Linked DNA regions of Diceros bicornis minor. The protein of the gene in region 1 purifies or fractionates together with the protein of each later gene. This does not show direct contact. Links are inferred from orthologs where the notes say so. Each region holds a gene or a part of one and is shown on either strand. Other genes may lie near its edges.

What was found.
Region 2: the proteins of SLC39A12 (region 1) and ABHD12 purify together in Homo sapiens (co-immunoprecipitation; 3 studies listed by BioGRID and IntAct, counting the BioPlex papers as one, with this or other methods). This does not show direct contact. The link is inferred for Diceros bicornis minor from reciprocal best matches to the Homo sapiens genes SLC39A12 and ABHD12.
Region 3: the proteins of SLC39A12 (region 1) and NAT14 purify together in Homo sapiens (co-immunoprecipitation; 3 studies listed by BioGRID and IntAct, counting the BioPlex papers as one, with this or other methods). This does not show direct contact. The link is inferred for Diceros bicornis minor from reciprocal best matches to the Homo sapiens genes SLC39A12 and NAT14.

Annotation. Positions count from the first base shown.
Region 1 is NC_080775.1:18,065,068-18,072,573, reverse strand, and holds the start of SLC39A12 (zinc transporter ZIP12), read right to left. Parts: upstream 3,133-7,506; coding exon 2,875-3,132; intron 1-2,874. UniProt on the Homo sapiens protein: Uniporter that promotes Zn(2+) import from the extracellular space to the cytoplasm across the cell membrane. The transport activity is temperature dependent. May play a role in neurulation and neurite extension.
Region 2 is NC_080758.1:51,379,535-51,387,875, reverse strand, and holds the start of ABHD12 (lysophosphatidylserine lipase ABHD12), read left to right. Parts: upstream 1-4,900; 5' UTR 4,901-4,997; coding exon 4,998-5,188; intron 5,189-8,341. Other genes in the region: GINS1 (DNA replication complex GINS protein PSF1), read right to left, coding at 67-141.
Region 3 is NC_080773.1:33,455,353-33,462,756, reverse strand, and holds NAT14 (probable N-acetyltransferase 14), read right to left. Parts: upstream 3,087-7,404; 5' UTR 2,936-3,086; intron 2,531-2,935; 5' UTR 2,485-2,530; coding exon 2,413-2,484; intron 1,848-2,412; coding exon 1,299-1,847; 3' UTR 693-1,298; downstream 1-692. UniProt on the Homo sapiens protein: Probable acetyltransferase. May act as a transcription factor that regulates the expression of coproporphyrinogen oxidase by binding to a promoter regulatory element.

The DNA.
Region 1 (7,506 bases):
GTCTTTTTTTTGGTGGGGTGGCGGGAGTGCTAACAATTGATTGTAAAATGTAAGAGACAAGTTGTATTTCTTCCCTTTCGTCCCAAGCAAAGATCTGGAAGGATGTCAGCAGATGACAGGCACCGGTTTTTTGTGGGTCTGTACTAGCTTTAGTACAGGCATTTCTGACTGACAAAAAAGAAATGTCTTGACTGAGAAGAGTTAAGATAAACTTGTCAGCTAAACAAGTTAAGATAAAGCTTGGTGCTTTGCATGCTTTATCCCATGAGAGTTATGACAAATGGTGGTGGTGGGGGGGGCATTAAATGCAGGACCTTAAAGCAGTGGTTCTCTTCCTCGAATGTGTCTGAGAATGGCCTGAAGACCTAGGTTAAAAACCCCAAGCCCCTGAGACAGTTGTGAGGGGGCTGGGGGATGGGCAGGAGGGGGAGGAATGTCTCATTTCTCAGTAGCACTGGCTCCAGTGTCCCTGGAAAGGGAGGGACTGGACATTCCGGAAGGTGCAGGTAATATAAGGGGATGGAAAGAGCTTGAGTGCCCATGTCCATTCAGATATGATCATGGGGCCTCATGAATTGCTCCCTGAGGAGGGAATCATCACCTCCATCTTACAGATGAGGAAGTTGAGGTTCAGCATGTCCTAACAGATAGAAGGTGCCAGAACAAGGATTCGGGCCCATTGCTGGCTAACTCCAGACACCAGGTTCTTTTCCCTCACCAGGCCTGGAATCCATGTAGGGTCGTGGTTTTCATCATTACTGAAGTGGAAGTTATTCTTTTAGAGTTACTTAATCCTTCATTAAATTCATTAAAACTCCATTTTAACCCTTCTCATTAAAAAAGAAAAAGCCACGATCAGGCAAGACTATCCATTTTCAAAGGCTGCAGCTTGAGTGGATTTATTTTTAAATGCATACAGTTCTCAAATACCTCAGATTGATTTTTTTTAAAAAAATCAGTTTTTACCTAGATCTGAAATAAAATTGGGAACTTTTTTCCTCCCCACAAATTCAAGATACACACTTGTCTCTTTTTTCAGACATTTAGGGATATGAACTCACCCCTTTGCCCTCTTTTTACCACAGGATTTCTAATATGAACCATGCCTCTCAGTGGACAAAGTCCCTAAAAAGACAAAAAAGATTCAGCAACCTGCTGAAGCCCTGCGGTTTGTACCAGAACGTGGGTGTTTGTGAAATTGATAGGACACTGTTTCTCCCTGGTTTTTCATGAATGACATGAAGAGATTTCATTGGCTTCTTGCTTGTGGGTGATTCAGGGGAATTGTAACCCTCTGAGCAGGTGAGGCTGAGATTTGCCCTTTTTTACCTCAGTCTCTTTCACAGAGAAAGAGAAACAGCATCAGCAAGAAGGCAAAGCTGTTAAAGACACTGTTTCACTTCCTAGGAATGGAACTAATTCAAACGGAAGCTAAATTGGCCAAACTCTTGATAACGTTACAGAAAACAAAAAGTGTAAAACAACCCCTCCCTCCCCAAAAATGGAGAATGATTTCACATGTTTACATTTTTCTTAGCTAAACTAATATTTAACCAGCCTTAATAAGGCACTCCATGTCATTAGAGGAGAACATTTCCCTGCAGCAAATTCTCAGAGGACATTAATAAGATAGGACTCCTAGTTATTTCCAGTGGGAAGTCTTATGTTGCTATATATATAAATTAATGTCATCACAGATGAGTCGCCTATTATAACACATGTTTTCTCTGGGAACCCTGGGGAATTTTTCTAATTACTGAATTATTTATTGTTTGCGCAGAGCAGAGAAAAATTCTCTCTATTAGCAAGACCCTTCTGTCATGAAAAACAACAAAACACTTGGCCGGGGAATGTTCCCCCTAGAACTAAGCATGATTAAGAAAGTCTGCCAAAATTTATTTTTGGAGAAAGTTATTTGCTTCTCCTATTTATTTATTTATATATGTCTTCATTTATTTATTTATTTGTGAGTTCATTCTGAAAAATCGCCTTAGTCAGGAAAGGGATGGTGAAGAGGGTTTTTGTTTGCCGTCATTTTAAGACGTGAGTTCTTATCCCGTGTGCTGCTCCTGCCACCCACCACCCTGATGGAGACCTTCTGATTTTACACTAAATGCTGATTTTTACATTCAAGTGGCCTGCAGAGATTTTTAAAAATTCCATCTCAAGCAAGTTAAATCTCAGCCTCTGGAGGAGAAAGGCCCAATGTGGGTATTTTGTGAAACCCGCCCACGTGATGCTGAGGTGCAGTCAGAGTTTGAGAGTCACTTCATAGACTAGGAAGAGGCTGGGAATTGGGCCTCAGGAGCGTGGGTCTCATTTCAGCTCCACCTGCGTCATTTTCCTTCCCCAGCTCAGATTCCTCATTTTTAAGATGATTATCCAATTCGTTCGTTAACTACCCACCATGCAAAATATTACAAAACACCAATCGACGCCCAGGAGAAAGTACTTGAAAATTCAACGTTAGACAAATATCAGATCACTATGACTATGCTACAGAAAACAAATAGCATCTATCTAACCAACAATGTGCAAGTTTACTGCAAGTTCATTAAAAGGATTAATAAACCAGAAAGAAGAGAGAACTAACAGTTCACACAAATAAATACCTCTAAACATGCAGAAGAGTTGCAGAAAGGCTTCCATAAACATTACCATTTTAATAAAAAAATTTTCCCTGTCTTTAAAATCTGCATGCAGAACGCTGAATAACTTGTATCCCAAATATGGGAGTTATTATGCCACAGTGCACTGTCCACTTAGGTACTGGAAGATTTGCATTTGGGTTTGCTTTACTGAAGCAAATGGCTAGAGAATCCATTGCTTCTGTTGAACATGCCCTGGTACCCGATCCCATTCTATTGCACTAACCAGACTGCAATCTCTTCGCATGCCGTTGGTCCTCCGTGGGCACCCAGTTTTCTCCAACAGTGTTTGGATGAGGCCTCTTGAGTGGTTCAGGGGTGCGGGGTCACCAGCAGAGAGAACTCGTAGTACTTGTATCAGTTGGCCAGGACTCCAGGTGCTGCTATCCTGGGCTGAGGGCTTTTTTGTCTCAGTAGAGGGAACAAGGCTGAGTAGAAGGAACAATGGCACCCAGAATACCGGAAGCTTGGTCCAGAAGCACATTTCCACTCCTCCTTTATCTTGAGTCTGTCTTGGATGGAGGTGGGTGGGCTAGTGTTCACGGTGTAAACTGGTAACCGGAGGAATGTCTGCAGTAAAGGGGAAAAATAAAGGCTTTAATTATTGCGCCTGCAACAAGTTTGAAAGGATTCATTAATTGGGCAGCTAAGCTGATTTACAGTGACAAGCTGTTTCTGAACAACAGGGGGTCTGTAGGTCATTTATAACCCCAAACGGCAGGAAACTATCATGGTTGTGGACTCAAACTGTAGAATAGCCAAGAAGTTTGTTATGTTGCCTCTCTCTGAATTAAACAATGAGTCAAAAATTAGGAGAATAAGTTTCTCTGTTTATCCTACAGGTGGTACAAGTCATAGGACCCTCATTTTACCCCATCATAAAGTAGAACTCCCAGTTGTTCGTGGTCCTCATCACTGATGTAAGTAAAGAAAAGTAAAGAAAAAATAAATTTTCATAAATTACCAACATCATGTTGAGTTAGAAGGTTTTGGACAAGGAAGGGTATTAGAAGAAAATAGTAATGTCCAGGAAACACGAGTGATTTTTTACTTTTTAGTTTATTAAAAGCGTGAACCATCTTAGAAAAATAAGAATCCCAAGACCGCCCAAGCCATGATAAATCCACCCAGTCAGGGGCCAATAAAGGGGTGAGGGGTTGACTTTAGAGCCAATCAGCTTTCTGGAAAAAAAATTAATCTCTTCAACCAATTGCTTAAGGAATGCAAAATGTTAACAGCATCTCATGTCAGATCTTGGCCCAAAGATGAACAAAGAATGACTGTGGGGCAGTAACAAAGATACCGGGATTATTTTACAGTTAAAATAAAAGAGTGTAAGATTCTTATGTTAGCATTTAAAAAATGACAGAGGATGATACAAACATTTCTAAACCCAGTGCTTACCTTCAGAAGAAAGACAAATGATTATTTATCTGGAGCTCTGTGGCCTTTTAAATCTCGGAGAGAATTTCGTGGTTACAAAGTCCTCTGTTTTTAAAACTCCTTGACTGTGCGCTGGGAGCTGGAGAGGATTATTTCAGCCCAGAGAACTTTCCAGTTGCTATGGAGAAAGCTGCTCTGAAGGCAACAATGAAGGTGGATAAAAGTGAGAACTTTCTGTCTGGCAGATTTTCAGGAAAATCAAATAAATGTGGCTAATGAACTCAACTTTTTATATCAATATTTACCAATTTTCTTAGCATTCTAAAACAATCTGAGAATTTCTTACAATCACTTGCCTTTTAAGGGACAGATCTAGGTCAAAGGATTTCACCTTGTAAAATGGAAGTGTTTTAGTGTTAGATCAAGATTTCTTTCTTTCCAGTTGATTCCGTGATAACTGTTTTATCTAGACTCAAACCAAGGATTTGTTGAGTGCAGAGGCTCTTTAAAACTGTATTAATTTTACAAGGCGTGGAGGTTTAAAACATTTAAGGCATTTGTAAATTCATAAATAGATGTTTTCAAACAAGAATAAAAGTGTTTGTTGGAGGAATAAAGTTCTTACCTGGGAAGTAAGTAGATGCAGCAGGGAACTTTAATTAGCTGTAGATAATATGATCCCGAAGTCTGTGGTAGGAGTGATTATATAAGGCCCTTCCGGCTCTGGGAAACTGGGCTCTTAATAAACTATTAGTGAATAAATGATTGAAAGAACAAAGTCGTAAATTTCATAGAAAGTAAGAGAAGTTAAAACCCAAGATTTCAAAATTGGCAGAGTAATTTACATGTAAATGGCACATAGGATGTTGAAACACAAAGAATCCGAAAAACACTGGGGATGGGTAGACACTTCTGAGTTCAATTGTGTAGGCGGCAGGTGAGGAGGCAGAGGACATGATAAAGAAGTTGGAATAATTAGTCTCCTCAATCTCTAACTGGATACGAAAATTGGGAACAACAGGGTGAGATAGTCCTAAGAGAATGCTGGTAGCACTGATAGAAATATGGAAGACCCATGGTTCCAGAAAATGCCAGGCTTCTCTTGAATTACACATCATGGAGCACTTGGATTTATCTAAACCATCAAGGGAAGGGACTTGGTGTGTATCTCTTGTGCACTAGCTTGAGATTAACTGTTGTTAGAGTCCCGGATCATCAGTCTAGCTGAGGAGCGAGGAGTCAGGACCTTCCCACTGTGGATCCAGTGGAGGCAGAGAAGGAGGAGGGAGCAGGCTCAGGACCAGAGGGGCACTGGGCAAAGCTCCCTGCAGGCTCCTGCTCATCGCCTATTACCATCCCCACAGTGGGCCCCACCTGAGCATCATTTGCAGGCTCAGGGGCCTGGTTAGGAGGTTACTAAAGAAAAATAGTCCAAAACCTAGTGAGCGAATTATCCAGTCCTACTCTCACCTGCTACCTTTAGGTACCACGGCTTTGCCTTGTTTTTGGAAGTAAGCCCTTGTTTCCTGGCCCAGCTCCATTTAGCAAATCCTGAAATCTGCCCTCCCTGCCGCGGTCCCACTGTATAACCTGCCCGGTTGCCGCAGAACTGGATCCTGATTTGTTCTGACCAGTGCTCCCAGGACAGTGCCCCTGCTGGGACTTTGCGACCTTTATCGTGATTGCCCTATGCCGATGTCCAGCCTGGGAGTCCCGTATTTCCTAGTCTCAGATTCCCTGTGGCTAAAGATTCCCTCCTGATAGGGCCCCAGCGAGTTATCTCCTGCAGGAATTCTCCAATGCCAATCTCTAGTCTCAGCTGCTCCCAACACCTCCAGCATCCTCGCCACAAGCCACAAGCCTGCCAGCTAAATGAATTCCTCCCATTGTCACATGCCTGAGCCCGCTCCATTTGTCCCCAAGGCTTGCTCCAGCCTCACAGTCATACTTAACAATTCAGCCACCAACCAGGGTCCTGTTTCTGTCTCACGGTGATGCAGGGACAAGGAGGGGCGAGGAGAAGCCCCGGATGGAGGCTCTAAGGCAGCCAAAGCAGCGGAGGGCTGGCAGGCAGGTCACAGGAGAGCAAGGGGAGCTTAATAAGGGACCAAAACACTTGGCTGGACGTGGCCGTGTCACCTTCTTCCCTCGACTCTGGGTTGAGGCTTAAACTCTTTGTACCCAGCCTGCCCGCTTCCCCAATAAGCCTGAAATCAACCTTTCTTAAACACGGATATATGTGCAATCCAAACCAACCTCTAGCGGTAATGAGTTTCATAAGTTCACTAACCAACTGTGTGAAGAAGCCATTCACAAGGCGTTCAACCCCCGTTTGGGACCAGGTTCGTCTGAGGCAGTATCTCCTGACATACAGACACGTGTTTGTGCTATCACAGGAAGATGTAATGGACCGGAGGTGGGAGGGACGAGGGGGTACTGATTAATCAGTCTTTCCTTCATTTTGATTCTTTGCCTTTTGATGTGGCCTGACTTTCAAACTTCTTCCTCATGTCAGGATAATGTATTTACATGTGTACTTTGCCTTGACCCAGAAGGAATGAAAGGGTCCCACCAGGTAATATAAAATACAAGATGGCAGCAACCTAAGAAGAGCCTGAAACAAGAGTAGAGCCATCTTCTGGGTATAGTCCAGGGCTGCCGAGTACAGTTTTGCAGGTTGGGCATTGTACAACTCTAAGGATCATCATTCACTTCTGTAATCATCACAGATTTATGTGTGTATTACAACAACTTTCCAGCAAACGTCCTGAGGAAAGGAGGCTCTGAGCTGGTGGCGGGGCTGTGTGCTCCTCTTCCTCAGTGCCCAGCCTACCCCTGTGGGGCCATCTCTGGAAGTAATATGAGGTCCCACAACTCTGAGCTACCTCTGGACCTAGCTAATCCCCACGTGTGCTTTTACACTATCTTCTCTTTTTTTCAAAGACACTAACCTCTCTAAATAATAGTTAACGTTTATTAACATTTTTCAAGTGTCTTTTATGCCTAGGCAATGTACTGAGCAACTTCACATATATTTTCTCCCGTAATATCAGTTGAACCTAATGAACTTCTCAGTGTACACTTCACAAATACCCAGGGTCACACAGCTAGTAGGTGCCACCAGAAACCCAGCCCTGGCCACATTAAAGTTGGCGCTTATACTACCAAGCAGCTGTCTATGGTGATGTGATCCCATGCCTTTATTTGTAAGTCCAAGCTCCTTTTTACAATGCAGCATGGGGGATATACAAAGGAAACAGACAAGAGCCCACCATAAAGGAAACAATCTGCTACATTTTGATTTTTGCATTCTCCCCACAGCCCTGTCAGCCCAAAAATTCTCAGAGGAAAAAAAAATAAGAAAAAGGTAGAACTTTAAAACAAATAGAACCTGAGGCTCTCGCCTTGTGTAACACTTAACAGGGCTGCCCTCCAGGCATTTGAAACAAATGTTACTCCCTCTCTAAACTGTTTT
Region 2 (8,341 bases), on another chromosome or scaffold:
CGCCCCCGGGGCTTCCAGGCCCCGCCAGCCAGCACGCCCATCTTTGTCTGCCCCTGCCCCCCTCACGTTGAAGGCGGGCAGCTGCCCTTCGGGTGTGCGATGCAGCTCGCGGACCAGCTCCATGGCCTTTTCGCAGAACATGGCGGACGCGCCCCGGTCCCGCGGCCTTGTGAGCCGCCCACTCTCACGACAAACGGTCCCCGGGCTCTCGGCCGCCGCTCTCGGCTCCTATCTTTCCCGGTCCCACAGCTCCTGATCCTCGCTTCCCCTCCGCGTTTTGGCGCCAAGCCTGGCCAGCCAATAGGAACGCACTGATGGGCGTCGCGGCCTACGGCGGCGGCAAAGGGACATTTGACTCCACTGCCCAGCTGCTTCAAGACGGGCAGAGTCCTGGGTGGAGGTCCTTTGCTGGGGATGGCCCCCGCGTGTGGGGAGAGCCGGCGGGCCTGGGTCCGCAGGCTGAGTAGACTTCTTCGAGTTCCCAGGAGGGTAACCAGGCAACTCTGCGCGCACCACGGCTCGGGAGAAATGCAGGCCCCGCAACTTCCTTTTTCCATTTGAGTCATTCCTTTTCGTTTAGGTTCCAAGGGTTGCGCACTTTGAGGTTCAGAAGGCAGGCCCGGGAACTTGGTGTGCATTCACGTTATGACGCAGCGTTTCGTTCGTTAGTTTTGCAGTGTGAGTTTTTCGTTTGATAGATAGTAATGGGAAACCAAGTTTTATTGGGTATTTCTTGTGTGGCAGGGACTGGGACTTCTATTTCATTTAATTCTCAGGATTAACCCTAAGGTGGTCATTAAGTCTCTTGGAACGGATTAGGAAACAAGTTATGGGCCGCCCCGTGGCTTAGCGGTTAAGTGCGCGCGCTCTGTCGCTGATGGCCTGGGTTCAGATCCTGGGCGCTCACCAACGCACCGCTTCTCCGGCCATGCTGAGGCCGCGTCCCACATACAGCAACTAGAAGGATGTGCAGCTGTGACATACAACTGTCTACTGGGGCTTTGGGGGAAATAAATAAATAAATAAATAGAAGTCACTTCTTAAAAAAAAAAAAAAGGGAAACAAGTTAGATAATTTGCCCGAGGTCTCACAGCTCATCAAGTGACAGACCCTGTATTTAAGCTTTCAACTCCACAGTACCACCTTTGATTTTAAAAGAAGTCATTTAAAAACATTTGTAAAATAGCTCCAGTCACAAGGTCTATGAAGGGGGAAAAATGCCCCAGATTAACACGCATTCACATAGCCATATACTTGCCTAAATGATTATGGAAATTTTCATAACTATATAGAATCGAAGGTGGGAATTACTGCTATAGAAACAATTCGTTTTATTTGGATATTTTTTAAAAAGCAATATTACTTGGATTCATTCTAGCTAACCCTAGACACTGTGTCCCTCTTCTGCAAATATAGATACAGTAGATGTGTGATCTGAGACGTGAGCATGGGAATGGCCTACAATGCTTCAATCATCCTTAAGTTGAGTGACATTTCATTTTCAGCTCTACGTTAAGAGATAATTTAGCTAAGTGTTTTCATTAAAGATACAATTCTCTAGTGGACTGTGCTACAGTATTGTGATCCAAAACCTTTTTAATTTTGCCATAAACCTTTTTAATTTCAGTCCCCAGGCCTGGGATTCACTTCCTTACCTATCCAATGAGGACAACAGTACCCACTTCTAAGGGGTTGTGATGATTCATTATTCCTGCAGCAAATATTTTCTGAAGTGTCTATTACATCCTGGGCATTGTTCCAGACACTTAAGATGAAGCAGTGAACACAATCCTTACTCTCAGAATCCACGTGCCAGTTTGGGAAAAGCAATACATAGATGCCGATATACTAATGGCAAATATTGGTAAAAAGTGCTACGAAGGAGAATAAGCCAAGGAGGGTGAACAGAGTACTGGTGAAGCCTGAGAGTTTTGAGTTAGTGTTCAGAGAAGGCACAGACCTGAAGTGGGGAGGTAGTGAGCCACGTGGATATGTGGCCACAGCATGGGCAGAGAATTCCAAGCAGCAGGAATGGAAGTGCAGAGGCTGGGAGGAGGGGTGTGGGGGGACGTGTGCAAGCATGGGAGGCAGTGACACTGGAGCAAGGTGAGCATGGGAGAGGCTGGTGGCTGAGACCAGAGCGAGGGCTGGAGGCCATGTAAGGTACAGCCTGTGGGCCTTTACATAAGCTTTTGGTTTTATTTTCAGTGAGATGGGGAGTCAATGAAGTGTTTTGAGCAAACAAGTGACAGGATTGGACCTAGGTTTTTAAAAAGACCTTTGTGGCCGCTGCGTTAAGTACAGGTGAGGCAAAGGAGAAGGCAGGAGACCACTTAGGCTATTAAAATAATCCAAGTGAGAGATGATGGCATCTTGGCCCAGTGTGTGGATGGTGGAGGTGGTAAGAAGTGCTTGGATCCTGGGGATAGATTTTTAAATGAGAACTGACAAAGCTTGGTGATAGATGCTGTGGCATAAGAAGGGAGGAATCAAGGGTGACCCCAGGGTTTGGCCTGAGGAACTCCAAGGGTGGAGTTGCCACTCCTCACGTGGGGAAAGTTGTGGATGGAGCTGGGGGTGGGAGAAGAGTTGGGAGCTCAGCTTTGAACACAATATGGTTAGGCGCCTGTAGGATATCAGAGTAGATGAGTAGACCATTGGATAGAGGAGCCCAGGGTTCAAGGAAGAGGTGTGGACTATTAGAGATACAAATGTGACTGTCCCCAGTGACAGGTGGTATTTAAAGCCTGGATAAGATCACTCAGAAAGTGAGTGTAGACTACGAGTTGAGGACTGTATAGGCAGGGCCTAGTGCCAGCAAGCAACACTCAATACCCTTTACATTTCTCTCTTCTCTCCAGCCCTCCCTTCCTTGCTTTTTTGTTTCTCTATTAAAAAGGATTTTGGGGGCCAGCCCCTTAGAGTAGCAGTTAAGTTCACACACCCTGCTTCCGCGGCCCGGGGTTTCCTGGTCTGGATCCTGGGTGCGGACCTCGGCACCACTCATCAAGCCATGCTGAGGCAGTGTCCCACGTGGACGAGCTACAACTCTACAACTATGCTACACAACTATGCACTGGGGCTTTAGGGAGAAAAAAGAAAAAGAGGAAGATTGGCGACAGATGTTAGCCCAGGGACAATCTTCCAAAAAAAAGAGGATTTTGTGAGTGATAGGTTCAAAATTTTTTTACACTTTAGTTCCTGGATTCCCAATCTCTGGTATGTACTACTACAATGCTTTATAAAGAATTCACCATTTAAATTCCACAAGTGTAGTTGGAGATATCCACACAAATATGAACACTGGTTGTGATATCTGGTATACAATCAATGAAATTCTTCTGCCATTTCAAAGTATCATCACTGTGGGAGATCAAAATTGGCCACCCTGAAATATATCTCTTTACCTTGATTATTTTCTCTGATGGACATTTGACCTCCCCCAAACTGCCTAAAGGAATTTAACTCTGGGTGTAGACAGACTGGCAGGGTTCTTGCTAAACCCATTCTTAACAAAGCTCTGTTTACCAAATATTTACATTTGTAACGGTATCTCCCTCTGTATAGTGGGAAGAGGGGGGATGACTTTATCTGTGAAAACTCTTATCAGGACAGAAGACAACGACTTAAATCTACATACTCGATCACTATAATTCCTGTCTCTCCGGCCACATTCTTTATAGGTGGCCCTGGAAAGCATTGTCTGACGAACACTTACATTTCCCTGTCCATGTAAATTGTCTTATTGCCCTCTGAAATCCCAAAACACCACCTGCCCCAACATCCTCCTTTGTCTTTAGCTGAAGATGGTATTTAAGATGAGAATCTCTGCCACTGTGTTGAGAAATTCAGTTTCCCTGGTTTCTCCCATGTATACATGTTATTAAACTTGGTATTATTTTCTCCTGCTAACCTGTCTTGTTAATTATTTGGCCAGCCAGAAGAACCTTAAGGGAAAGGGTGGAGGGGGATTCTCCCTCTTCCCCAACAACACAAAGCTAATACAAGGAGCTATTGAATTTCTAAAGGCATTTCTAATTGATCTTAAGTTATCACTGGCCAATAGTTTTCAACTGATATAATTGTTGAAATTACAAAAGTTACTTTCGAATAAGTAAGCAAAATCTCTTGGTGGCAGATGGTTTGTAAAAAATAATGGCCAAAGCTATAAAACTAAACATGTGAAACTGCTCTTTTATCTTTTCTGTTTGTAGGATGGGTTGAATTAGTTCTTCATTTGGGCTTCACAAGTGGAAATTTATCTTTGAAATGGATTGTCCCCCTTCTGCTAGTTCTAATTGTTTTACAAAAATCTAAAACCTAATACAGGTTTTTAAAAAGTAACAGCTGTTTTCACATGTCGTCCCAAAAGCTAAAAATAAGTATCTATACATTTGTGTTTCAACAAACCAAAAAGTACCTGAAAATGCATTTTTTTAAGTAAAGTCCTTGTGGGAAAACAGTTATAAGTCATTAGAATTGTGACTTGTTACCTTTTTCTTTTTGTCCTATAAACCTTTGTAAGAACATTTCCAGGGGTTTACCCAGATTGGGTTTTGAGTGTTGCGCGGGGGTCAGAAAGCCTGGGGTGGAAGCGGAGGGAGCCAGCTTTCCGCGGGGTTCTGGCTCGCTGGGCGCCCGTTTCTGGCAGGCATTCCGCCTGCCCCTCAGCACGCCGACAGAGGCGGCCCCCGCCGGGCGATGACGCTCCCTGCGGCTTCGTCCGCCCTTCTCCAAGATGCCGGTCGCGCCAGGGATGCTGGGTGCGCTTCCGCAGCACCGGGAGGAGGCAGGGCTGGCGGCAGCCCGGCGCTGATTGGCCGGTGCGGCCGAGGCCCCGGCGCCAGTCCGTAGCCGGCGCCGCGACCTGGGCTGGGATGTGAGGGGCGGTGGGCGCCGGGTGGCGGCAGCTCCTCTGGGCGGCGGCGACGACTGCGGCGAGGCCGGGCGGGCGAGGCCTGCGGGCGCCGTAGGCGGCCGGCCGTGTAGGCCGCGGGATGAGGAAGCGGCTCGAGCCGGTCGCCCTGGAGCATGAGCGCTGCGCCGCTTCGGGCTCGTCCTCCTCCGGCTCGGCCGCCGCGGCGCTGGACGCCGACTGCCGCCTGAAGCAGAACCTGCGCCTGGCGGGCAAGGGGCCGGCCGAGCCGCGCTGCGCCGCCGACGCGGGCATGAAGCGGGCGCTGGGCAGGTAGGCGCGGCGCAGGGCGGGGCCCCTACCTAGCCCGCAGGTGCGGCCCGTGCGCGCCCCGGAGCCCCCCCCCGTCAGTTCCCCGCCGCAGGAGTGCCCCTACCTACCTTCCAGCCCCTCACCGTCCTCTTCCGGCCTCCGCGGACGCCCTCCCTTCCTCTGGCCCGCCAGTGCGGCCTGGGGGCAGCCCCCGACCCCCCATCCCGCCCCTCGGTACCTGCCCGCGCCGCACTCCCCTGGTGTTCCTCCGCTCCCCACCCGCCCCCTCAGCGCCTGGGATCCAGCCCCCGCCCCTGCCTTCCCCCGGGTGAGCCAGTGGGGACGCTTTCAGCGACGAGCTGGACGAGCGTCTCTCCCGGGGGTTTGGAGCGGCAGGGAAAGGACGACTCCGCTTGCGGGTGTCGGGGAGGCCCCTGGACGCCCGGCGCGGCACGGAAGATGTGGGAGGCGGAGGGGCCGGCGCCAGACCTTGGGTGTTCTGGGGCCAGCTCGGATCTCCTCTTTTGCGAGGGACTCGCGAGGAGGCTCACCGGTACCTTTTTCTCACTTTGGTAATTCTTGGTCTCGGATAACTAGTTGTCAGAAGTGGCATTGGGGGGGGGAGTCCCTGTGGTGTAGCAGTTAAGTTCCTGCGCTCTGCTTTGGCGGCCTGGGGTTCCTGGGTTCAGATCCTGGGCGCGGACCTACACACCGCTCGTCAAGCCACGCTGTGTCGTCCCACATGCAAAGTAGAGGAAGATTGGCACAGATGTTAGTTCAGGGCCACTCTTCCTCACCAAAAACAAAAAACACAAAGAAGTGGCATTCTCTGCTCAGAACTGCCCGGCCTTTGGGGGAAGGTTAAGTAAGTGGTCTGCAGTGACAAGGGAAAGGAAGAAGTCACCACATCCTCAGCTGCTGGAGGAAAACCTGTCGTTCGCTGTGCGGGTGGCTGGTGGTGCTTGAAATTTGTGCACAGGAGATGTCTCCTTGGGAATCTCCGTAAAGTCCGGAAGTCATCTGGTTGTTTGCCTTCTCCTTTTGGGTAGGAGATGAATGCGTTTATGTAAAGCTGACTTCAACCTTGAGACAGGAGCATATTTAATAGGGACAAATCGTCCTCCTCATATGCTGGTTTCTTTATCCGGCTATTTGTAGAACATCATTCATGGCAATTTTGAAGTCTTAGTGTTTCAAGGTGTTTGAAGAACTTAGCGTGTAATGTTCTCAGGTATTGTGGCAGAGTCATTTCTTTTGGAGTCACCTGGAATGCCCTTAATTGACACTGGCCACTTAAGTGTAGAATATTTATCCAAGTAGCTCCTTCAAAATTTCAACTTCATGGCTTAAAAGATCATGAAGTTAAACTGTAGACTCCTCTAAGTCAGTGGTTTCCAGTCCTGCCAGAGGGGCAGGGACTAACAATATTTTTGTTTTGTGTATAATTATCTAGCAACTGGTCAATGTCTTTTGTGAAATGAATCTGTTCTCTCTTCTGTGGAAAAGTTTGTGTTAAAAAGTCATGATTGGCTTTAATGCACTTTTATTAACAGGCTTTGTGTAACATTTAGATAAATTGGGAAATTCTTCCTTTGAAGAAATCAAGTTGTGATGCACAGTAGTGTTTGGGGAAGCAATGCTGGCCTGGCACCTTCCTTGAAAATGTACTGTAATAAAAGGATCTGATTAATTTTTATTTTTGTATCAGGGGACAAAGAGAGACACTCAAGTGGTGCTTATATATCCTTTGGATAAACAAAAAGTTGTTAGGGGAATAAAAAGAAAAGCAGAGAGCGGAAAGGCCAAATCTGTGTGTGACCCAGTGGCTTCCTTCCCCGTTGCCTGGAATGCTCCCCTGGACATTCTCCTACTTTGTTCTTTCCTTCCGCCAGGTCTCTGCTCAACTGTCACCCACCTCAGAGAAACCTTCCTAGCCCAGCCCATCCAGAATAGTCTTTGAGCCATTTGCAACCCCCTTAATTCTGTTTACTTGTTTCCTCATCACACTTATCCCTCACCTGACCTTGTAATTGCCTCCGTACTTGACTTGCTTTATGGGTTGTCTCCTCCCTAGCAAGAATGGAAGCCCCATAAGAGCAGGGTCATTGTTTTCTCCACCTCTCTATCTCCAGTGTCTGACACATTGTAGGTAGGAGAAAATACTTGTTGAATGACTATCTAGAATAAATTCCAAAAGTGGAATTGCTGGGCCAGCGGTTGTGTGTGTATGACTGTGAAAGGTATAGCCTTGAGTGCCCTCCAATTGGTGTTGATTCCTCCTCCCTCCAGCAGGGTCAGGTGCCTCCCTGCCCAATGCTGAGTATTACCAGATATTTTGATCTTTTTCTATTTGATTGCTGAAAATGACATCTGATTTGTAGTTTTAATTTGCATTTCTTAATTGTTAGGTGGCAATTTTCGTGTCTTTTTGTAAGTCTATTATATACATTTGGGATTATTTAAGTCTTTCATCACCCTCCTTTGGGTTCTCCTGCACATTTCTTATAACTTTCTATTATGTACATTTTCAAATATGCAAAAGTGGAGAAAACAATGTAATGAATGTCCATGTATCCATCACTTCATTTCAACAGTTTTCCATGTTTTGCCAATCTTGAATCACCTATTCCTTCTCCCCTTTTTTGTAGGGTGGGAGACTAGAATATGTTAAAACAAATGATTTTATCCATAAATACTTCACAATATATGTTGAACAAATGAGGACTTTTTGAAATACATATACTTTCAATGCTATTACCACATTTATCAAAATTAACAATTTATTATCTATTATTAATTTAATATTATCTAATATCCAGTGTATATACACATTTCCCCAGTTTCTCAGAAATGTGTTTTTTAAGTTGGTTTGTTTTAAAATCCTGTACAGGGCCGGCCCCGTGGCTTAGCGGTTCAGTGCGTGCGCTCCGCTGCTGGCAGCCCGGGTTCGGATCCCGGGTGTGCACCGACGCACCACTTCTCCGGCCATGATGAGGCTGCGTCCCACATACAGCAACTAGAAGGATGTGCAACTATGACATACAACTACCTACTGGGGTTTTGGGGGAAAAAAAAAAAATAAAAAAAATAAAAAAAATGCTGTACATTTCTTAAGTTTATTCCTAGCTATTTAATCTTTGTTGTTGTTACTGAAAATAGGATCCTTTCATATAT
Region 3 (7,404 bases), on another chromosome or scaffold:
CAACTGCAACCACCCACACGGGAGCCGGCCAGGCGCGCCGCTGCGCTTAGAGATGCTCAAGGGACGGCAGGCTACAGAGAAATGACCGGACACGGGTGCAAGTGAGGAGACAGCAAGGGCTGGGTGCCCCCCCATCTGCTTCCTGTCTTGTCCAGGCAGGGAAGCGTGGTGGGACCAAGGTAGAGCGGATCCAGCGTGGATTCAAATCAGCTGCTGGGGTTGGAGACCTGACACATCTCGGGCTAACGGTGCAGCAAGAGAGCTTGCAGCCAGACACCAAGAAGGACTTCCCAGATTGGGGCTTGAGACTGAGAAACCCCTCTCTCCATTCTCCCTAGTGGATTTGCATGCAGTCCCCAGACCCCCATCTGAGGGAGCAGTGGTTGAACTTATGTGTCCCCCAGGGAGTTGGGAGGACCAAGGATTGAGGCTTAGGTGGGGGAAGGGGAACTACACACACACACACAGTCACTCTCTGCACCAGGCAGCTGTGAGGCGGAAAAAATTCAGTAATGGGGAGCGTGAGTCAGAGGGCTGGCAGGGAGCGGGGCGCCTGCCGTGAGCTCATCGCCTCCCTTCTCCCCGTCCAGCACCCCCACCGACAATTAATGTCAACTCGGGGAACAAGGAGCCAGACAGAAGGGGGGTTCTGCGGTGGACTGGAAAAGGCATCAGAGAGAGGGAGACCGGTGCACAGCAGTTCCAGGCTTTATTAACAAACGAGTGTAAAAACCCAGATGGGCCTGGCCGGCCCTCTCGGCTCTCACGGCTCTCACCTTCCCCGGAAAGGGCCAGCGGGCCAGGCAGCCCTGAGCTCATCCCCTCCTCCCCGGGGGCTCTCCCTAGGCAGACAACCCTCCCCTGCAAAGGCTCAGCTAGCTCATCCCCTCCAAACACAGGAATCAAACCCCAGCCCATTCCCAAGAGGCCTTGTCCCTATCCTCCACGTCCCCACCCCAAGTCCTAACCCTTGGGGGGACAGCTGTGCTCGGCCTCCTCTCCACCCCACATCCCTCTCCCAGGCCCATAGCACAAACAGCGCAGACTTTGCAGACAGACAGACCGAGATTTCTCAGTGCAGACAGAATCTGAGGCAGGGGATTAGACAGATTGACCTCTCTGAGAAGTTCAAACACTACAGACAGCCATCAGGCTGCGGTGGGGTCTCTTGCCTTCTGCAGACCTGTTTCTGGGCCCTGGGTGGGCTGGGGATTCACGGAGGGAGGGCATGAATGCGCCTGCACACAGTAGGTACTCCCTAAGTGTTGGTGTTCCTCCCTCCCTGTCTGGGTCTGGAGTCACAGGTCCTTGCTGAACTCCCTCACCAGCGTGTAGCCCATGCAGCCCCAGCTCCCGTCGGCCTGGTACCCACAGCCCTCCAGCATCCCCGCCACGCCCCAAGCTGCCACGGCCACCGGAACCACGAGCCGGGCCCGGGGCTCCCCCATGCCCCCCGCCCAGGCTCGAGCCCGGGATTCGGCAAAGGCCAGCAGGCGCCTGCCCACGCCTCGGCGCCGGTGCCAGCGGGAAACGGAGAGGCGGGTGACCCGGGCCCCATCCCCGGCGCTGGAGCCCGGGGCCAGGGCCAGGACCCCGCACACGTCCCCCGAGCCGCGCACTGCCACCCAGGGCCCCCCCAGACCGCCTGGTGGAGGCAGCGAGCCCCACCGGGCCCGCAGGCCCAGCTTCACAGCCGCCACAGCCAGGAACACAGGCAGGAGGAGGGCCAGGGCAAAGGAGGCCAGGACGAAGCGCAGGCCACTGCTGGCCGCCGCCAGGAGGAGCAGGGCTGGTGGCCGCGTCAGGGCATGCAGGGCCACGCGGTTCTCGGTGTCCTTCACACCAGCCTGTGGGCAAGACAGGTAGTCAGGGCGGGGAGGCTTGGCCCTCCGTCACGATAGGGCCCCCGTGGGCACCAGGGACTGGGAGAGAGAACGGGCCCTGCCAGGGAGGGATCCAGGGTGGGCGCTCCCGAAGGAGAAGGGAAGTTGATGCGTGGTCAGCTCCACAGCCCTCCAGCTGTTAACACCCCGCCTGACCCCCAGGGGTGAGAGAGGGCGCTAGAGAAAGGAGGAGCCGTGCCAGGACGCGGCTTAGGAGGAAATGATGGCTCCCCAGGGGTCCCGGCTGGCTCAGGCTGGCTCAGGCACGTGACCGAAGCCACTCACACTGGGGTCCCTGGCCCCCCAGGCTCACGGTGCCCCCAGGTGCCCCCTCCCTGCCACCCCCAGGCTCATGGTGCCCCCAGGTGCCCCCTCCCCCCCCCCACAGGCTCATGGTGCCCCCAGATGCCCCCTCCCCCCCCCAGGCTCACGGTGCCCCCAGATGCCCCCTCCCCCCCCACAGGCTCATGGTGTCCCCAGGTGCCCCCTCCCTGCCCCCCAGGCTCATGGTGCCCCTGCCGGCTCTCACCTTCAGCATCTCCAGCACCAGCGGTTTCTCATCTTCCCTCATCTCCCGCACAGACAGGTGGCTGGGGGCCATGGCAGCCCCCAGGCTCCCGCTCCCCCAGAAGGGAGCAGGCGTGCACCTGGTGAAAGCAAGCAGTGAGCATCAGCAGGGCACCTCTCGTCCCCAAAGCGCCCCAGGGGTGGGGACCAGCAGCAGCACGTCCCAGATCAGGACACTGCAGACGCTTGGGGTCCCCAAGCAAGGTCCGAGGCAGCATAGGCCTCCCTCCACCCAGCGACCTTTCTCAAGTCTCCAGGGGTCCCGCCTCCCGCCCGCCCCGTGGTGTTCAGCGATCTACCCCTAAGCGCCCTGTGAACGCCAACACCTTGCAACCCGGGGCCCCCGCCCAGGATCCGGGGCTGCCCCGGGGAAGGGGGTGGTCAGCGAAACTCCCCCCACAGCCGGGGAATGGGCCGCGCTCCCCAACCCCGGCGCCCGGCGCCCCTTCCCCCCCACAGTCGCAGGAGCAAGGACACGCAAGCACCTCTGCAGGTCGCTTCGATCCTTCGACAAGGCGTGGGGGCTGCAGGGTCGGGAAGGGGTCGCCGGCGGAAGTGACGTCACACCGCGCACGGAGGGGGGCGGGGCGGCGCCTGCACTCGGCCTTAGCAACTGTTGCCAAGCTCCCGGCGGGGGCTCGGGGGAGTCCGGGCGTGGACTGGGAGGGACCGGGCAGGGAGCGGCGGGGGTGGGGCAGGGGAGAAGGAGCCATGGAGAAGGGGGCCTCTGGGAAGACGGGAGCAGACGCTGGCGGGGGAGGGGCCGGCAGGGAGGGGATGGGGGCGGTGGGACCCGGCGGGGTGGGGCGGGGAGCGGTACTCACCCGGCTCGCGGAGGGTGAGCTCAAGCTCGCAGCCTGACGTTCCCTGGTTGCTAAGCAACCGGAGCGCTGAGAGGGGGCGGCGATGCGAGCAGATCAATTCTCATTGGCTCCGGGGCCTTCGTGGGAGAGGCCGCGCCAGCATCCCGAGCCCACTAGCTCCCAAACTCCCCCACCCCAGGAACCTCCACGCCAACCCACCTGGGCTCTCAGTGACCTTCAGATAAGCATTCCCGTCCACCTATCTTTCAGATGAGAGGAGGGGTGGGGTGAGTTACAGCGAACAAGTGGCTGAATCCGGATTCTGGATTCCAACGTCTCCCCACTATACTGACCACTGCATCCCTTTTTTAAGAATAAACCGAGCCCCACATAGAAGTGGCTGACGCCAAGACGCAAAGCAAGTCACCTGCGAGCCAGGAAGCAAGAGATAAGACTCCAAGCTCCCAACCGGTGGTTATGGCCATGACATTTCCCTCCGCGCCCCTCCCCACCAAAACAAAACACAGAAGAGGAGGTTCTGGTCTTTATTAGCAAGCCCGGCCTGCAGCACCCCTGCCCCCAACCCAACCCAGGCAGACAGAAAGTCGGGGTCTCCGTGTGGGGCGGGAAGAGGTACCAGTGGTTCTACTCAAAACGTGTGCACCAGCTGGACTGCGGGCAGAGTCTGGACAATCTGGATGGAGGGCAAGCCCTGTGGGGTCATGCCCCCAGGCACAGCTCCTGCGGGGACCACTTGTACCATCTGGGAAGTGGGCGCCGCAGGGATGCCCGCGGGGATAGAGGCTGGGCCAGGTGGCGGTGGGGCCAGCAGCTGCAGCGTGGCGGCGCCTCCCCCAATGCTGCTGTTCTCCAGCAGCTCGGTGGCCGGAGCGCTGCGGATGATAAGCAGTTTCTGTCCCGGGGGGCCGGGGGCAGGTGGCTCAGCCAGCCCCGCGGGGAGGGTCTCTACCTCCTGCACACACAGCTGAGTCTGCTCGCCATCGGCCCCGCTCAGCACCAGGACGCTCTGCAATCCCTCATCGGTCTGCAGCGTCTCAAAGAGCACGTCCTGGACCACGCCAGCGCTGGCCTCACCGTCACCCGGCTCCCCGGGGCTGGGGCCCGCCAGCAGTTCCTCTGCTGCTCCACTCTGAACCACCAGCAGGTTGGGGGCCTCAGTGGTCACCGCTCCCGCACTAGGATTGGACAGCTGGCCCGCCACAGGCTGGAGCTGGACCGTGGTCACTTCCTGGGCCGGCTGGAGCTGGACTGTGGTCACCTCCTGTGCCGGCTGGAGCTGGACCGTGGTCACTTCCTGTGCCGGCTGGAGCTGGACAGTGGTCACTTCCGGGGCTGGCCGGAGGGGCTGGAGCTGGACCCCACTCATTTCCTGTGGCCCTGCCTCCCCAGCCCCCACATTCTGCAGAACGATGAGGCTCTGCCCTCCCCCGCTGGCCCCGGTGTTGCCCCCTCCCTGTACCCCTAGCCCCCCAGGGCCGGGCAGCCAGACTACTCCAGTCCCCGGTCCAGCTTTCCCCACTGCCCGGGGGCCCTGTCTTGCGCCGCTGCCCCCACCACCAGTACTGGAGGAGGGCAGCAGAATAAGCTTGGGGGGTGCGGGTGGGGGCGGGGGCGTAGGGGGCTGCACGCTGCTGGGGATGAGCTGGAGGCCTTGGGCGGTCTGCACCAGGAGGAACGTCTGGGAGTTGGGGGCTGCCGGGCCTGGGGGCGGGGCCTGGGCCGGGCCCCCTGCCACCTCGAGGGAGAGCGTGGCCTGGAGGTGGGGGAGGACGTGGACATCTTGGGTGGCAGAGGGGGCTGGAGCGGCAGCCAGCGGGGCAGGGGGCTGGGGGCCGGCGGCGGCGGGGGCTGCGGGGCCGGCAGCCGCGCTGGCCGGGGCGTGCGTCCTCAGGTGCCGCTGCAGGTACGCGGCCATGACGAAGCTGCGGCCGCAGATGGGGCAGGCAAAGGGGCGCTCGGCCGAGTGGGTGCGCTGGTGCAGCAGCAGGTTGGACGAGTGCGTGAAGGTCTTGGGGCAGAGCGGGCAGCGGAAGGGCCGCTCGCCCGTGTGCACGCGCTGGTGCTGCCGCAGGTTGGAGGTCTGCGCGAAGCTCTTGCCGCACACGCCACAGGCGTGGGGCCGCTCGCCCGTGTGCACGTGCCGGTGGCGCCGCAGGCACGACGTGTTGCGGAAGGCCTTGCCGCACTCGCCGCAGGCGTAGGGCCGCTCGCCCGAGTGCAGCCGCAGGTGGTACTGGTAGTGCGAGGACCACTTGAAGGTGAGGCCGCACTGGCCGCAGGTGAAGGCCCGCAGGCCCGTGTGCACGCGCTGGTGGATGGCCAGCAGCGACGAGCGCTTGAAGGCCTTGCCGCACTCGCCGCACTGGTAGGGCCGCTCGCCCGTGTGGTCCCGCAGGTGGTAGCGCAGCCCCGACGAGCCCTTGAAGGCCTTGCCGCACTCGGCGCACTTGTAGGGCCGCTCCGCAGAGGCCGGGGCGGGCGCGGGCGGCGGCGGGGCGGGGGCGGCGGAGGCCAGCGGCTCCTGGGGACAGGTGACCTCGGCGGCCTCGGCCTGCGGGGGCGGGCGCCCGGCCGCCGCCTCCTCCACGTGGCACTGCTGGTGCGCCAGGAGGCTGGCCAGCTGCGGGAAGGCGCCGTCGCAGCTGCCGCAGCGGAAGGCCTGCCCGCCGGCCGCCCCGTGGCTGTGCTGGTGGCGCGAGAGGCCGGCCACCGTGCGGAAGGACTTCCCGCAGGGGAGGCAGGCGAAGCCCGGGGCGGCGGCGGCAGGAGGGGGCTGCGGCAGCGGGGACGGCGGGGACAGCGAGGGCGGCGGGGCCGGGGCAGCCTTGGGCGGCTCAGGGGGCCCGTCCTGGGGCCCGGGCGCCACCTCGGGCCCCGGGCAGGGCTGGTGCTCCAGGAGCAGCTCCTCGCTGCCGAAGCCCAGCTCGCAGCCGTCGCAGCGGTACACCAGCTCCACCGTGGTCTCGGCGGCAGCCAGGAAGAGCTCGGGCACCACGGGCGGGGGCGCGGGCGGCGGGGGCGCGGGCGGGCTGGGGGCCGGGAGGTGCCGCGGCAGGAAGGCGGCCGAGCCCAGGGCCTTGGCGCCCGGCTCGCGCGGCGCAGGGGCGGCGGGGGGCGGCGGTGCCGTGGGTGCGCTGGTGCAGCAGCAGGTTGGACGAGTGCGTGAAGGTCTTGGGGCAGAGCGGGCAGCGGAAGGGCCGCTCGCCCGTGTGCACGCGCTGGTGCTGCCGCAGGTTGGTGCTCTGCGTGAAGCTCTTGCCGCACACGCCGCAGGTGTAGGGCCGCTCGCCAGTGTGCACGTGCCGGTGGCGCCGCAGGCTGGACGAGTTCTTGAAGGCCTTGGGGCAGTCGGGGCAGGGGTAGGGCCGCTCGCCCGAGTGCTGCCGCAGGTGGTACTGGTAGTGCGAGGACCACTTGAAGGCCAGGCCGCACTGGCCGCAGGTGAAGGCCCGCAGGCCCGTGTGCACGCTGCGGTGGATCTGCAGCAGCGACGAGCGCTTGAAGGCCTTGGGGCAGTCGGGGCACTGGTAGGGCCGCTCCCCGGTGTGGCCCCGCTGGTGGTAGAGCAGCGCAGACGAGCCCTTGAAGGCCTTGGGACAGTCGGGGCACTTGTAGGGCCGCTCGCCCGTGTGCGTGCGCTGGTGGTGCAAGAGCCGCGATGACCACCGGAACGACTTGCCGCACTCCCCGCACTCGTACTGGGCCGCCGGCGCGGGGGCTGCGGGGCCCGGCTTCTCCGCGGTGCCCTCGGCGGTCGCGGCCGGCGCCATGTCCGCGTGGGAGCCGACCATCACACCTGGGGGGATTCCAGGTCAGGGGAGGGCAGGCGCTCCCCCCTCCACCCACACACCGCATAGTCTCAACCCCACCCCCAGACGCCGGCCCCTTAGGAGTCAGGGGCCCCTCAACGCCCACCCACGCTGCAGGGAACCTCCCTCAGGACTAGGGCTTCCAGTGGTCCAGGTTTGCCCCGGAATGAGAGACTGCCAGGTGCTAAAATGGAAACTTCCAGGCAAACTGGGAGGAGCTGGTCACGTGCCTTAGGAAGTTGGCCATCTCCTCCAGGAGGATGGACAGGCCTGAGGCCAGGCACTGCCTTTAGGGCTCTGCTCATTCCCTCCAAAGATGGG